Linked DNA regions of Kluyveromyces lactis. The protein of the gene in region 1 interacts with the protein of each later gene in a biochemical or structural test. Links are inferred from orthologs where the notes say so. Each region holds a gene or a part of one and is shown on either strand. Other genes may lie near its edges. The genes, in order: KLLA0_F03839g and AVO2.

Region 1 (8,421 bases):
GTCGAAAATGCATTATCAGGATCGGTACCATCCTTCAAATTTTGGACCAAGCAACTGAACCTTTCAGGGTTCTGCATAGCAGAAATAGAACCTTCCAAATCATTCCAACCAATCAACGAGCTGAAATGTCTGGTAGCTTCACCATGAATAGCACCAGTGATTCTTCTTTCTAAATACACTGTCCAACCTTCATTTAGCCAGAAATGGTCCCAGGAACAGTTTGTGACCAAGTTACCAGACCATGAATGTGCCAATTCATGTGCGATAACGTCGATGTTCGACTTATCATGGGCAATTAGAGTCGGTGTGGCAAATGTCATGTTTGGAGATTCCATTCCACCATAAGGGTATGAGTTTGGGTTCACCAAAATGTCGTAGGTGCCCCATTCGTATTTGAAAATGATGTCTTCAGCAGTGGTAATGAATTTTTCAACATCACCATCAAATTCCCACTGGGCGTCCTTTAAACGATAAGGTTCCACGTAAACTTTGGAACGAGGACCAATATCAGCGCTGGCCAAATCACCTGATGCGATACCGATCAAATATGCTGGAATTGGTACTTCTTGCTTGAAAGAGTAGACCTTAGTAGAATCATCGTAACCTGTTTGGATACCCGAAAACACAACTGGTAATTCAGACTTGATGTTGGCGAGATATGTAGATTTTACACTTGGGGTATCAAAACATGTGAATAGACTTCTCGCATGGATGGCTTCCAATTGAGAGAAAACGTACGGTTTCCCAGATGTTTGGTGTTCATCAAGCCATTGCAATGCTGTACAGTCTGCAGTTGTCGAAAATTGTAAGCACAAATGGAATATTTCCGGCAAAGAAGATGGACTAACAATTAACTGAGCACCCAATGGATGTTTTCTTTCTAACAATTTAAACTTCACGTCGTCTTCATCATCCACTTTGACTTTAGAGATCTTCAAGTAAGAAGTATCCAACTTGATAGTGTTTTCATCCTTCTTCACCTTTTCAATCTCGTAAGAGACAGAACCACTAATGGTTTTCTTTTTGAAATCAACGCTAACATCCAACTGTGAATGCTTTACCTTGAAAGACTTGTAATTGGAAAGTGTAGAATAGTCGAATTCCGGAGATTCTTTGGGACGACGTGATTCAAGAACAGGTGGAAGTGGCATTTTTCTCGATATAGGAGAGGTTTGGAAATATCTAACGTTCGATAAAGCTTTAGCGGGTAAAGATTTACAAGCAGCCGAAGTTTTATTGTAAAAATTGAAAAGCATACACTTGGCAGGGATGAGTTTAACGATGCGCCGAAGATGGAACCGCTTGAAAAATTAGGTAAAAGACACACAATTGACTAAATATTGGTCAACCTCAAAACGATCTCTCCAGTAGTTAGATATTAATGAAAAAAAAAAAAAAACACACACACACAATATTAAAACAAAAAGACAGACAAAGCTCTTGTTAAAGTTTCCACAATATAGGGGTAACAGGGGACAAATTAGAGCCAACTGAATTAGCCAGTACGTGCATGCACTTGTTTTCAAAAGAGAAACTCAAAATGGAAGTACAATATAAGAAAGAACGCCAAGATGAATGAGAAGATAGTATGTATTGTGCAATACCGGAGATTTTTTAACATTCGTTCATATTTCAAGAAGCAAAAGCTCAGATTGACACATTTTTTCATGTACCCTTTGTCAATTCATATTGTGTACCGGGTAATAAGTGTTTTTGACACATAGAGTAACCGCATGGGACAAATAAGATGGAATAAATATAAACATGAAATGTTCTCAGATCAAAGTGAGGAAAATTGTCACCACGAGTCTGTGTCAGTTGTATGTTCTTTCATTAAGCTGTATTAAGCGGCTTTAGGATGGAAACAATGACGTTCATTTGTAAGCATTTTCGCACTATAATGCCTTTTATTAAATATGATACTACAGTATGATTCATGGTGCTTAACATGAGACACTGTAACTACTGAGAGAACATCGATTAATGCGATCTATTATATGAAGCTATACGAACTTCTCAAGTATATGTAAAACTATCCAGTTCCATTTCGAGTACCAATCCCAGCCCATTCCGAAAAGGTTCGCGTAGAAATAATATTTGACCATTTCCTGAAACATATTAATCAGCCGGGCAAGTATCAGATGCAGTAGCGTCACTATACAGATAACGAATATGACACATGGCATGAATCTCTCTGAATATATGAACCTCTCTAATTTATTCAAATCAGACCCTACAAATTTTGCTTGTTTGTTCCTTGTGCCTCTGTTACGCAGACGTGCAGTTTTGCTCCTTGAAAACAATCTAGATATCGATGATGTTTTCAAACGTCGCAGCTTAATATTGCCCGCGTTCGTCTTTTGTATCCCATCATACGTATACACCATGGACGCATCTTTGGTGAAATACTGCATTGAGAGATACTCCCACAGTAGCTTTCCAGAGCTATTTTTCTTGAATAATGTTGGAACAGTAACGTTCTGCTCTTGAATTTAAATGATTCGCCGGGGGTACAGTAAAGACTTTGGATATCAGTCCCTTGCCTGCTGATCCGCTGATATGTCAATCACTTGATTCATTACTTTACTCAATTCGAGATTTCAATAGTCATATTGAACGAAACGTAAACAAAATCTGAGAAAGGGAAAACGATATTTCGGTGTCACGTGTCATTAATCGGAAGAGGTAACTGTGTGATCGGAGAAATCGCTCAGAGATCTTGCAGGAACCCCAGTAGCAACAAATACAGTATGCACACAGGTGTTACACACAACACTTCAAAGAGGTGGCTGAAAACATGACAAAGAGCAGAACACAGGTATCCAGTTGAAGAGACGGTTTAGCCGAATAGGACTTCTACTATACCGTCCATTTCGGCCAGTTGATTTCGACGTATGCCACACGTAACAAAAAAAATGCCTATGGATACAAGGAGATTCAGTTGAAGCAGAATATCCTCATCACTCTGTACAGGGCCAAACGTCAATACATGGTAATATATACTACTAAATATCATTCTTCCCACAGATCTATCCTGGACAGTGCCATTGACGTCTTCGTCCTAGCTTTTCACACCCCTTATCTGCAAGCTTTACACCACCAGGATCCACAGCATCCTTTCTCCAACCCCATCCATATGTATTGAACCTTTCTTTATCTCACAGAAGCATCGAATGCAAAAAATGGAAAAAAAAAAAATCATAAGAAAATGCTGTAGTAATCACCAAGTACAGTAATATTTAGAGGAAGTTTTGGGAGCCCAGCTTTAAAAATAACAAAAATTTGAAATTGCAATTAAAATTGAAACTGGGAAGAATTATTTAAGAAATTTTGCAAGGACCTCAAGTTCAGTACAATACTAGGGATTTGTGCTTCCATTTTCCCTTTGTTAAGAAACTGATACGATAGAACGTTAAAGAAAGCGTTTTCTCCTGGCGAGGTATTTTCGGTACTTTGGAGATAATTACGGTTTGAGTAGTTATTAAGGAATAAAGAAGGAGGAGCCCTTTAGCTACAAAAAAAAGAGAAAAGCCGGGCTATCGCAGACTTTATCATCATAATCATCATCATTATAGTTTACTTCTGATTTGTGCTTTCGAGTGATAAGATGTCCAAACAAAACACTATGACTAGCAGTATAGCCGATATGCTTTCGCAAAACCAACACAGTTTGCAGCAATTGCAGCAGCTGCAACAGCAACCATCTAGAAGTTTGACTTCTGCTGATTACAAGAATTTCCAGCAAAGCGGATTGAATGGAACTAGCGCTAACAACAGAGTTTCGGTTGCTGGCCAGACAATTCCTTATCCGACCGATAACATATCTATCGATGTGAACCAACCGCGAGGATCCATGTCAGCGGATGTTGTTGGCGTTCAAGGGAATGCAAATGCAACTGGTCTTGAAGAAGGAATTTCTTTCCCTCAAATGAATTCTTCCAAGAGACAGCAGCAGACGAATTCGTTGACTAGCTCGCATACGCATGTTAGCAGAAACAGGGCTTCATTGCAAAGACATAGGTCCAACGGTCAGGATCCCAGATCTCCTTTGGTGGTATTGATGCCTACTAATGCGAACCCTACAGAAGTTCTCTCTCAGAGATTTGCAGCATGGAGAGGTATTATCAGATCACTTCTTGTATATCTACAAGAAACGGTTTCCATCCAAGATGAAGTTGTAAGACAACATTTGAGATTGCAGCATGCAATTAACTTCCCATTTTTCACCATTGATAGCCAACATCAACCTACCACTCCAGAGGACAAGAACATTCAAAAATTCTTTTTGCCTCTAGGGCACGGATCTATTCAGGATCTACCCACCTTATTTAATCAGTACCATACGCAAATGGTCCATGCAGCATCAAAGGCCTCCAAGGAATTGAGTCAAGATGTGATCCCCAGATTAGAGGATATGAGACGTGATCTATTGGTGAAAATTAAAGAAATTCAATCTTTAGAGTCAGATTTCAAAAATTCATGTAACAAGGAACTTCAGGAAACCAAAATTCGTTTAAAAGCTTTCCAGGAATCGTTGGAAAATTCTAAATACGGATCTGTGAAACAGGATCCTTTCCTAGCGAAGATCCTTTTGGAAAAACAAATCAAGAAACAGTTGACCGAAGAGAATTTCTTGCATGAAGCTTTTAATAATTTACAAACTTCTGGTAGGGAGTTGGAAAAAGTTGTTATGATGGAAATTCAAAACGCTTTGACCAGTTACGCTAAAGTTTTAGGCCAAGAAGCTCAGATAGTGTTTGACGTTTTGATTTCCAAATTGGACACTGGTTTTTTCAATAAAGATCCTGTCTTTGAATGGGAAAACTTTGTCGCTAAGGACCCAAATTTCATCGATCCTAACTTACCAATGAGACGTGTCAAAGACATTGTTTACAAGAACCAAAATGATCCATTCACGTACGAGATTAAATCTGGAATTCTCGAAAGAAGATCCAAATTCTTGAAATCATATTCTCGTGGGTTCTATGTCTTAACTCCAAGTTTCTTGCATGAGTTTAAATCCGGTGATAGGAAGAAAGACTTGATTCCCGTAATATCGTTGTCTTTGAATGACTGTACTGTTGCAGAACATTCCAAGAAAGGATCTTCAGACTTTAAGTTTATATTGCATACAAAACAAAACGGGATTATCCACAGAGGTCATAATTGGGTTTTCAGAACAGATTCTTACGAATCTATGATGGACTGGTTCAACAATATTAAACAGCTAACTTCTACCTCCAATCCTGTGGAAAAAGCTAGATTTGTCACAGAAAAATTGAACTTGGATGGCTCACATAATAAATCGGTATTGACACACTCTACACCACAAGGCAACCAAGCAGCCAGAGCTAGTGTTGACAACAATGACTCGATTCTGGCAACCCCAAGGACAGAAAACGAGATACACGCTTTTTCTGAAACTACAGGTAACACCACTTTGAACAACTCTAATATCGAGCCAATGAACAAAGCATCGCAGTTTTTAACCCCTAAAAATCCTCGTAAATCAGGCCAATATTCATTAGAAAATTCTGCCAAGAATAACGTGTAGTAATCTCGCCAAAATGGCACCATGTCACCTCTCTCTGCTAATACTTCCGAAACAAAATTGTAACAAGTATGATGTCATGTTTTCAAAGCAAGTGCATATACGAACTGATATCGAAACATCTATAGCTTTACTTCATTGTCTAAGTAATGTAACAATTTATATAATTCAAATTCAACTGAACATTCTATTATGAGTCAAATTGAGTTCCTCCAACACCTCGTTCCATGAACGTTCAAACTCTGAATCAGAAAATTTTGATAAAGAGCACATCTTGGCTCTATTTGAGATATCAATTCTTTGTACAGTATTCAATTTCGATACCTGAGCAAATAACGTGCGTAAAGAACTATACTTTGAAGAATCTTTGGCTAGAAAATCCGGATCAGTTTCATCGATGAAGAAAAAGCCGGTTTCATTAGCTTTGTCAGTACTTTGTTCATTCTTCTTTGAATCCCATGGCACTACAATATCATAAAGAGGTCCAGCAGAAGCATGACATAATGGGATCAAACCACTTGCCATATATTCCACGACAGCTATACCAAAATGCTCATTCCACATTGCGTTTATACCAAACCATGAAGAATATAATATACTCTTCATATCATCATATTTACAATCAGTTTTGAAATCCACTAAATGGGTTGGAATTTTAAGTGCCTCAAAGGCATACTTCTTCAGCGTTTCAACATATTCCCTATCCTCTACGTTTCTTGTTGATCCTATAAATATTATTTTAGGAATCAAATCTTTCTTAGTCGTAGCATCGATGAAAGAAGAGAAGGAAGATAATATCAATTCGTGTCTTTTTTCTGGTCTAAACTGCGCAATAACAACCGCTTGATTTAGTCTTTTAACTGGATCTGATTTGTCACAGCCTTCTATCAATGATTCTGTGGAACATGGTGGATAAATAATGTGAATATTTTTTGTTGAGGACCAGATGGATTTAATATGATTATAAGTCCAAGTTGAATTAGTCGATGCAATTTCAACAAATAAGCCTGAAAATTTGTATGCGAGCATGAATATTTTCCAGTAGACATATTTACCGATCAGTTTAAAGTTTGTGTGAAATCCTGGCATAGTTTTTAGCTTTTGTAGCATATCTGTTGAGATGACAGGATAATGGGTATACGTTACAATTGGAATCCTAGCAAACAAAGATACAAAGGGATAAGCAAAAGGATATCCCATTGTATCTATCCAATAATCTGGAGCAAGTGTAGTAAGCGCTTCAATGGACAAAATGATGGAACCATAAGCTTGGCCTAATAGCGTAAATTTCGGCCAACTTTTTGATTCTACCAGTCTTCTCTTCTGTAGGAAAATGAATACTATTCTGTCCGAATCTAGATCGTATTCAAACCTTCTCCGCACACTGTTCAATATATCTGATCCATTAACATCTGTGTCTCCGGTATAGATAACGCATATATTGTTTTTATCCTGATTTAGCGATGTCTCAACGGCTTTCCACAAGACTTTCTCTCCACCACCACCAGCGTTACAGTAAGGATGGAAAAACCCTAAGAGTTTACGCTTTGAATCAAAACCCAACTTATTAACGAATGACTCTCTCTTTATTCTATCATTGTATGCTATATGAACCCTATCGCCATATATTTTGTTTGTATAATCCGATGGCCTTTCAGAAGCTAAAATAAAGGCTCTTCTAACAGAGGAGTTCTTCCAACCAAAATCCAGCACAGGAATCCTGTTCAAATTGTTTGAGCATTTTAGAAGTGAGTTATTAACACGTAACCTTACTTTCGCTGGTAGAGTTACTAGCAAACTTGGTATGAAGGATGACAATACTTTCAATGTAACCAATCCTGCGAGTAAGCTGCCGAACACGTACGTGACAAAATCAGCCAGCTTCATTGTTTGTATATCAATTGAAAAGTAGCCCAGGACACGCGGCTGACTTGTTTAACTCGTAACTAACGTTCGCTAATATATTTATATCAGGACATTAAGGCAAGATTTTCATATATTGTACCTCATCTTTTATGTGTAAAATAAGATTGTTCACAATCTGAGTTTCCTTATCGTTGAAACTGAACCGGAGTTATCCGCATAGACACGACAGATCTTAAAATAAGAGAGACTATAAAAAGGAAGGCGGGTGATGCTTATACAAAATATGTATATGTTACCTACGAATGTGGATTTGATGAACCATCATTTCAAGTGCTATTTTCATTTGATTTTGAACGGTTTAAATGGGAATTCGTTCTCACCTATCTTTAAATTCAATTACAAGTTCAAGCAAAGGCCCATAGTCGTTAGTCTTTAAGATGTGGAATTCTTCTGAGAACAGACAGACATGTCTGAAACTTGTATTGAGAACTGTTTGTAGATTGAGTTCTAAAATTTCGTTGAAATGATGACAGTAGATATGGGCGTAAACTCTAAATAGCCTTTTCAAGATAGGTCTTGCGATAGAGTCTTTGAAATCTTTTGGGAATGGGGCACCTGGTTTGCTTGGGAAATATGATTCATCATCAAACTGCTGTTGACACCATCTGATAAGATAATCGACGTATTTAGGTGCCGGTAACGATATAGGAGGTTTCCCAGGATGGACGTTCCATAGGTATTCGTATTCGTTAGTGGCTATCATTCTTGGACATGTTTGTGGGGAACAAAATTCCGTGATGGACCCATATAACATATTGATTTGGTTGTAGAAATCGACACAGTGTACAGCAATCCATTCGTCGATATTTTCGCCCTTAGGTAATTTAACAGCCTGGTTTAAAACACCTTTGGACCCCAAAGTGGTCTCCACGATCTGTCTTAAGTCCTGATGGGATGACACCACGGTGCCCGAAGTTGACTGTATGTAAGGTCTTTGATGCGAC
Region 2 (7,238 bases), about 2.0 Mb from region 1:
AGAATGATGGTGTACATGTGGCAACAATAAAATGGTTGAAGTCTGTTACTGTACAGTACTTCTGTACATTGTATATACAGAAGTCATCTTCCGCTCGTTTTGACTAAGGTCACGTGACTTATTTAAAGTGTATTCTTTTTTTTTTGTAATTTTCCCTGTAGAAAAGAAACCTCAAAGATTCACCATACGTGATATTCTCAAAACCGTATATAGAAAATTTTCAGCTCATCGCACCGGACAGGTACAGAGACTTAACTTGTTCTTACAGCAATGTACTTATCAGTACTAAGATTCGTTTAGTAAGAAGGATATTATTTACACAGCTCAGTTGTACCAATCCACCCTGACATGAGCAATTCTCTTGAAGAACGGTTGAAATCGAATTCTAGCGCCTTTGAAGGGCTACTTTCGTTGATACCTGCGAAATATTACTACGATGACAAGACACAGGAACAATGGAATGCCAAGAAGAAGAGCAAAGGGCAATTGAAGGAGGATAAGAAATCGAAATTGGATCCTGAGCAGCAGGACGATGAATCCAGCTCTGCCCTCGAAGTTATGAAGAAGAAACAAGCTCAGGCGAAAGCTGTGGTTTTACCAGGCCAAAAGAAGATCCAACGTGAACTACTAGACGCAGAGTCTGAAACATCGTCCGAAGATGATGAAGACGAAGAGGACGAAGAAGAGGACGAGGAGGAGCAAACCGAGGAACAAGAATCTGACGAAGTACCGGAAATAAACATTTCTCAAACTTTGGGCGAATCTGAGAGTATAGCGGTGATCTTTGATGATGATGGAAACCCAGTAGATCAGAACAAACAGAAGCAAGAGAAAGAGCGTATACAGAAAAAACAGGAGGCCATCGAACGTACCAAAGATGACTCTTCTCAGAAGAAGAAGAAGATGGAAGAATTACGCTGTAAACTACAGGAGAAAATCAAAGCTTTAAAGGAGAAAAGAAAAGCCCCAGGAACCAAGGTGGAAGGTGCGCCAAGTTCAAGAGAAGCTATTCTTGCTCAAAGAAAACGTAGACAAGAGGCAAGGGCCACCAAGTTAGATTCTGAAAAAGCTGGTGATGTGTCTTCTGATGATAGCGCAGATTCTGATTCGGACTCGGATGCAGAAGATGCTCACGTTTCCAAGAAACATCGTCGCAATGGTGATGAAGAGATTTCAGCCAAAGATGTTATGTTCCAAAGTATTCAATTCAATGACGGTACAAAGGCTACATCTGATTTATCGCATGTAAGAAAGGGTGAAAGAAAAAAGGGACCTGCCAAAAAGGACGTTAAAGCTCATTTAAGACTGCTAGAGACAAAGAAACAATCATTAGAATCAAGAGATGAATTGGATCAAATTAAACTGAAAGAGAAGGAAAAATGGCAAAAAGCCATGTTGCAAGCAGAAGGTATCAGGCTTAAAGATGATGAGAAACTACTTCGCAAAGCTTTGAAGCGTAAAGAGGCTAAGAAGCGTAAGTCGACCGTCGAATGGCGTGAACGTAAACAAGTGGTAGAAAACACTGTTGCCGAAAGACAGAAGAGAAGAGAGGAAAATCTACAGATTAGAAAGGACAATAAAGGTAAGAAGAAGAGCAAACAACAGAAGATGAAGAGAAAATTCAAGGGAACTGCCCATTTGAAGAAAAGAGCAGGATTTGAAGGACGTATGAAAAGTGTCAAGAAGAAATGAGCCTTAATCAACTAATATTCTCCATCCAACAAATAAAAGCATAATATCATATTTCATCCTTTCAAGTTATAGATTAACCTTTTACTTTTACTTTTGCATCTCTATTTTTATATACTGACACCCAATGATATATAAAAATAAATATAATCAAACCCAGAATGTAATAATGCATAAAATCTCTATTACCATGTAGTCTTTAATAATGGATTTCAGAAGCCAATGTGCGGTTATTTCTTTTCATTCATTTTAAACTGCGTTCGAAAAATCATGAAAATGGTTCAGACGCAATAGTATAGATGAAATAAGGTATCTCGATGAGATGAGGTTGAAGAGGTTCACTCCAGCGAAACAAGGCAACGTTGCAGAAGAGAAAGATTCTATATTGCATAATGCTGAATGTGATAACCTGTCGAAGTCGATTAAGTTTACTCGTTACACCAAGACAACTTCGATATATACGAACCAAAAGTTTATCAAATACTATCTCCACTATAAAGAAAAATGCTGATAATGCAATGCATATACAGGAGAAGCAAGACATTGCTGTTTTGAAAAAACATGACTTCACTGAAGTTGATATAAACTCTGGTGTGAATTCTTGGTTCTTATCATATTTAGCGGTGACAAATCCGGGCTTCAAGAAATCAAAGAAGAATCTTCGAAAATTAAAGAAACAGAAGGAAACCTCATTGAAGGATGTGGTAGAATACTTACTTCTGGAATCAGAAAATGAAATAAAAAGACTTCAAACCATGTCTCCCGAAGAAATTAATCGTCATTTTACTCAAAATAAGGATAGCGAAATATTTGACGATTCCACGGATATAGAAAACCTTGATGAAAAAATTATACAACAAGTGGTTTACGATGAAATGAAACCCAAGCTACATGCATTGACTAACACAAATCATCTTTTAGATTTATTAGAGAAGACTTTATCCGACACATCAGTTGTCGATAAAAGTCAAATTATTTCCTTAGATCAAATGGTACAAGCATTTGAATTATCGAAATTGATACCTAATTTGAAATACCGTCTCAGAGGACAGTATCTTACTGGCCAACTAATCTATGGACTCAAGAAAGTCAGATTGGACCCTGGAAATGAATCCTTTTACATTGATTCTCTTTTACATTTCAGGAAATTCAAAACTGCAGCAGCATTGTTCGAGAGTTATAAACGTCGTGTCAACGAGCGGTGGTGGTATGAAGTTGGTATGATGATTTATTTGAGGAGCAACAAGTTCCATAAGTTTAATAATTTGTATTTGGAAACAATGGACACGTTTGGGGAGAATTATATTAGACCTGATGTCATACTATCCGCTATCAGAAAACTATTGTTCGTAAGACATGTGCAAAAGGCCAGACAATTGACAGATCATCTTCTGTCTATGGTTAAGACCTATGGTTGGGCGGAAGATAATACTAGTGAAGCTGCCGCTGGCGGACGCAGCACAGTTTCAATGTCGAGGAATGGGTTTTTAAACTTCAATTCTTCAGAGGAAGCGAACAGCTTTCTCAATGAGAAACAAAAAGTTTCGAAGAAAGACTACTTATCTATGATTTCCTCATATATAATATATGGGTTCAGCAAAGAAGGTATGCAATTATTCGCCAATTTTGAACAGTCTACCAAAATGGACGGAGTACTATTCAATACACTTATTGTGAAATTAAGATTACAATGGCTCAAAGAGTTTGACTCGTTTGGAAAAGCGTTAGAACCATATTTATCACCAGACGAGGCAACCAAGAAATTAGAGCAACTAAAGGGTTGGTATAATGATGCAATGGAAAAACATAACTTCTCCAAAGTTAGAAATAGTTTCAGTTACTTGTTGTACGGTAATGTGAACGATTTGGTTAGATTTAGACGTGTTTCCGATGTATTACAGCAATACTTACTAGAATTCTTTTCTGCGGAATCTGATGAGCAAAACTTAGAGTTTAAATCTAAAAAGCTACAAATGATCATAAAGCTGCTTCTCATCGGTGATCGTGAGGATGCTGCATTAAAATTACTATCAAAGTTAGAAGAAGCAAAGAAAGAAGAAGCGAACAAAGATGTAGTCAAAAAAGGCGCATCAGTTTATCCTCCAGTAAATTCTCACCATTATTTTCTTTTCACCGAGTACTATCGAAACAAGTCGAATAGAACAGCCGAGCTTAAGGTGGAACAGATGATCCAGCGTGCTAATGAAAACAAAGTGAAACTCAATTCGTTGTTGTTATTGTCATTACTTAGACATTTTTTCTGCCAGGAGAGATATGAAGATTGTATCGTTCTAATTAATAGATTTTTCTCCACTTCAGAGTCTCTTGGGTCAAAGTCTTGCGAAATACCTCCACGAAAATTGTACAAAGAGATCTGGAAAGTATACCGAGGATACTATAGACTAATAAATTGTAAACTAAGAGGCAGTGATAACTGGATACACACTACGGTACAGAAACGAAAAGACATCAAAAGTAGACTTGATTATAAGATGTTCGATGTTTTTAATAAGATGACTATCGAGCACGGAACTCTTTTGAACTATGAACTTGTAAATATAGTTATAAGCGCATTCACCGCTAATAAAGAATGGAATAATCTATTTGCTGTTCTATGTTACATGCATGACGTTCAGATGTTGAACATTACCCCTTCCAGGGTAGAATATGTTAGGAAAGGGTTAAGGAAAGATTATATTGAACAACTAAAGATGAAGTTGGAAAAGCGTGACACACTTGACACTGAATTAGTCAGATCTCTACGCTTTAAATTAAAAGAAATAGAAGACAAAAGAGCCCTCAACAACCTAAAACTCGCTGGCATAGATGACGAGGAGAACTTCCAAAATTTATTGGCCGATCTAATGGAATATTTACGATTGATCAACTATAGCAAAGATCAATTGAATGAGAAGTTACAGCAATTAGGGTTGAATCCGAATGATTTGAAGTTTCACAGATACGTTGAATGAAGATTACCTGTATATATCTAGATAAGCGTTTTAATGATTGCATTTTTTTGGTATTTATTTTTTGCTTAACTTCAACCATTTAGGGGCTTTGGTCAATTTCCTGGTGGGCTTGGGTCCTTCTGCAATGGATTCCCCACCTGAATTCTCCTGTATCTTTTGTTCTTTCTGTTGTTGTTCTGCATAGGCCTTTGCATTCGCCAAAAGATGAGGCTTTAGATATGGTGGCGAACAATCACCAACCTCCACAAGAACTAGAGTTTTCTTACTAAATCCAGCATCCAAGAGTGTAACAGTATCGTCATCCTTTAGTTTGATGAAAGGGCTCGACAAGCTGACTGAGACCTGCGCAGCAGCAGTCTCTATTAGTGATCCCCTTATAGTCTCATATAACGAATGGAGTGTACTAGTAACACTCAATTGATAATCCAGCGCAGTTCTATCCGGTAACCTAGCTCTTATGTAAAGATAATCTATACTTTGAGCTGCCTGAGCGCTAGCAGAATCTTGCCCCTCTTTCTGTTCTCTTAACCTTTTGGTCATAAGTGGGCCAGTTGCCAAGTTCGTCCCTGCTCTATTGGCCAATAGTTTCTGATACCTTAAGGCATGATCTACAGTTAAGTTATAATTGGCATCGTTCACATCAGAACCATTAACGCTAGTTTGGTCCCTCGGTAATATCACTTTCGGATGATGATTAGTAGAATTATCGGCCATTGAATGAGTTAATATAGTACTTTTCTTGATATTCTCCTTTGCTCATCACTTATTCTTCCATTATCAATACAGCAGTTTAACAGGGTTTTTCAGCTTCTGGCGTTTTCACTTGTCATTAGTAGTATATCAAAATTATAAGTAAAAAAAAGAGAACAATAAACATCGAGCGATAAAAAGTACAATAATAAAATCTTAAAATAAAGGAATAACTTAAATCAATGTATTTACCCTAGAGTGAAGAATAGATGGACAGAAAAGAGAGTGAGAAAGAAAGAGAGAGAACAGTTTGCACCTATAAAATTTTGTTCCAATGATCCCTGAGCCAAGGATAAGACTAAGAGAGGCGATTGTCCAGGGTAAATTGGGCGTTGTGAGAAGAATTCTCAAACGATGGCCAGACCTGCTCGAGAACATCGACAGTACGAACGGCTGGTCATCGTTGCATTACGCTGCATTCTACGGTAGATACTTGATTTGCCGCCATTTGATCCAACTTGGTCATGATGCCACTGCAATGTTAAAAACCTACGACGGGGATACGTGTATCCATTTGGCAATTACGAAAGGGGATGAACAAACAGTACATCTATTATTGCAGCATTTCCTCGAAGAAGGGTTGAACCTGCGAAGCAGCAGCGCCAGAAGATGGGCGCCAATCCATATAGCATGCCGATCGAACCATTCCCGATGCCTGGCTCTTCTCTTACAATGTGGCGCGGACGTAACATTGGAAGACGAAGAGGGAAACACAGGATTACACGTAGCTATGGAATACGGCGCGATCCAATGTTTGCCGATTTTGCTGCAATGCGGTGGGGCAACATTAGCCGATGAACAGAACCAAATGGGGATAGTGGCAAGACAAGTCGGAAATTGCGACGAGACCATCAAAAAATTCGACCAGTTTGCCGCCGAGATAAGAAAGGGCGTCAGTAGCGGCAGTAGTACGGTACCAATTGGCACGCCAGATATAGCAGCTAGCAAGACTTTCTTAGGCGGTAACAATGGGCCACTTTCTCCAGAGCTTCGTGGAAGACGCAGCATAAAAGATTTGAACGATTACCTAAGCGCTCCAGGTGCTATCGTGGATGCCTCCCCTAGAGCTACTACCGTGGCAGTAGACGCCGCTTCAGTTTCTGCTGCTTCCACAGCGGCATCAGAAGCCGTTGCTATCGGCCCGCCGACCTTACCGAGATCAAGGGAATCCAATTCCAACAGCATGGGTGACCCGGAGTCACCCAGCATCCCATCGACAAGTAGGTTACTCAATGTGGCAATAACCAAAGTGAGAAGAGGTGAAGATAGCACTGCAGCGCGATAGAACAGTATATATTTATCTATCGGAGATTTTCTGGTTCATCATCTTTCATAAAATACATATCGTAATGTAATTTACAGCCTGGGTTGAATTGCGATCTGCAATTCGGACATTGCAACGAATCACTGTATGCAGCAAACGACATTTCAAGTTTGCATACGCCGCATATGACCAACGGGACAGTTTCGTCGTTTATATTGTACCTTTCTGTGACGTGCGGTACCAATTCCTGGTGACACTCGTAACATGCATAGTATCCGTTACAGCATTTGAACCGGAGGGCTATAACGTCCAGTGGACCGTGCCAGTGTTCACACCGACTTTCTTTATCCACAAGTTTCCCATATATCTGTGCTTTTTCCATGGAGATGGGTGACCAGTTATACTGCAGTATACAATTCTTAAATATGAAAGTAATATACTCTCAAATCCTCGATATTGAGTATGGGATGGTTAACAGCTTTCAATTTGAATGTTTTCGAATTTAAACTATGTGGGAAAAAAAAAGTAGTGTGGAAAGAATATACATAAATATATAAATGAAT

The links.
Region 2: the proteins of KLLA0_F03839g (region 1) and AVO2 form a complex in vitro, tested with the Saccharomyces cerevisiae proteins (2 studies listed by BioGRID). The link is inferred for Kluyveromyces lactis from reciprocal best matches to the Saccharomyces cerevisiae genes SLM1 and AVO2.

The regions. Positions count from the first base shown.
Region 1 is NC_006042.1:361,110-369,530, reverse strand, and holds KLLA0_F03839g (SLM1 family PH domain-containing protein), read left to right. Parts: upstream 1-3,607; coding exon 3,608-5,554; downstream 5,555-8,421. Other genes in the region: LAP2 (bifunctional aminopeptidase/epoxide hydrolase), read right to left, coding at 1-1,256; KLLA0_F03861g (uncharacterized protein), read right to left, coding at 2,004-2,414; alpha-1,2-mannosyltransferase ALG11, read right to left, coding at 5,726-7,438; MOB1 (Mob1p), read right to left, coding at 7,794-8,421. UniProt on the Saccharomyces cerevisiae protein: Together with SLM2, acts as an effector of the TORC2- and calcineurin-signaling pathways. Phosphorylated and activated by TORC2 under favorable growth conditions. Mediates actin polarization via inhibition of calcineurin-dependent transcription.
Region 2 is NC_006042.1:2,410,719-2,417,956, reverse strand, and holds AVO2 (Avo2p), read left to right. Parts: upstream 1-5,685; coding exon 5,686-6,696; downstream 6,697-7,238. Other genes in the region: ribosome biosynthesis protein RRP14, read left to right, coding at 349-1,692; SOV1 (Sov1p), read left to right, coding at 2,082-4,661; UBX4 (Ubx4p), read right to left, coding at 4,716-5,375; HOT13 (Hot13p), read right to left, coding at 6,713-7,057. UniProt on the Saccharomyces cerevisiae protein: Component of TORC2, which regulates cell cycle-dependent polarization of the actin-cytoskeleton and cell wall integrity.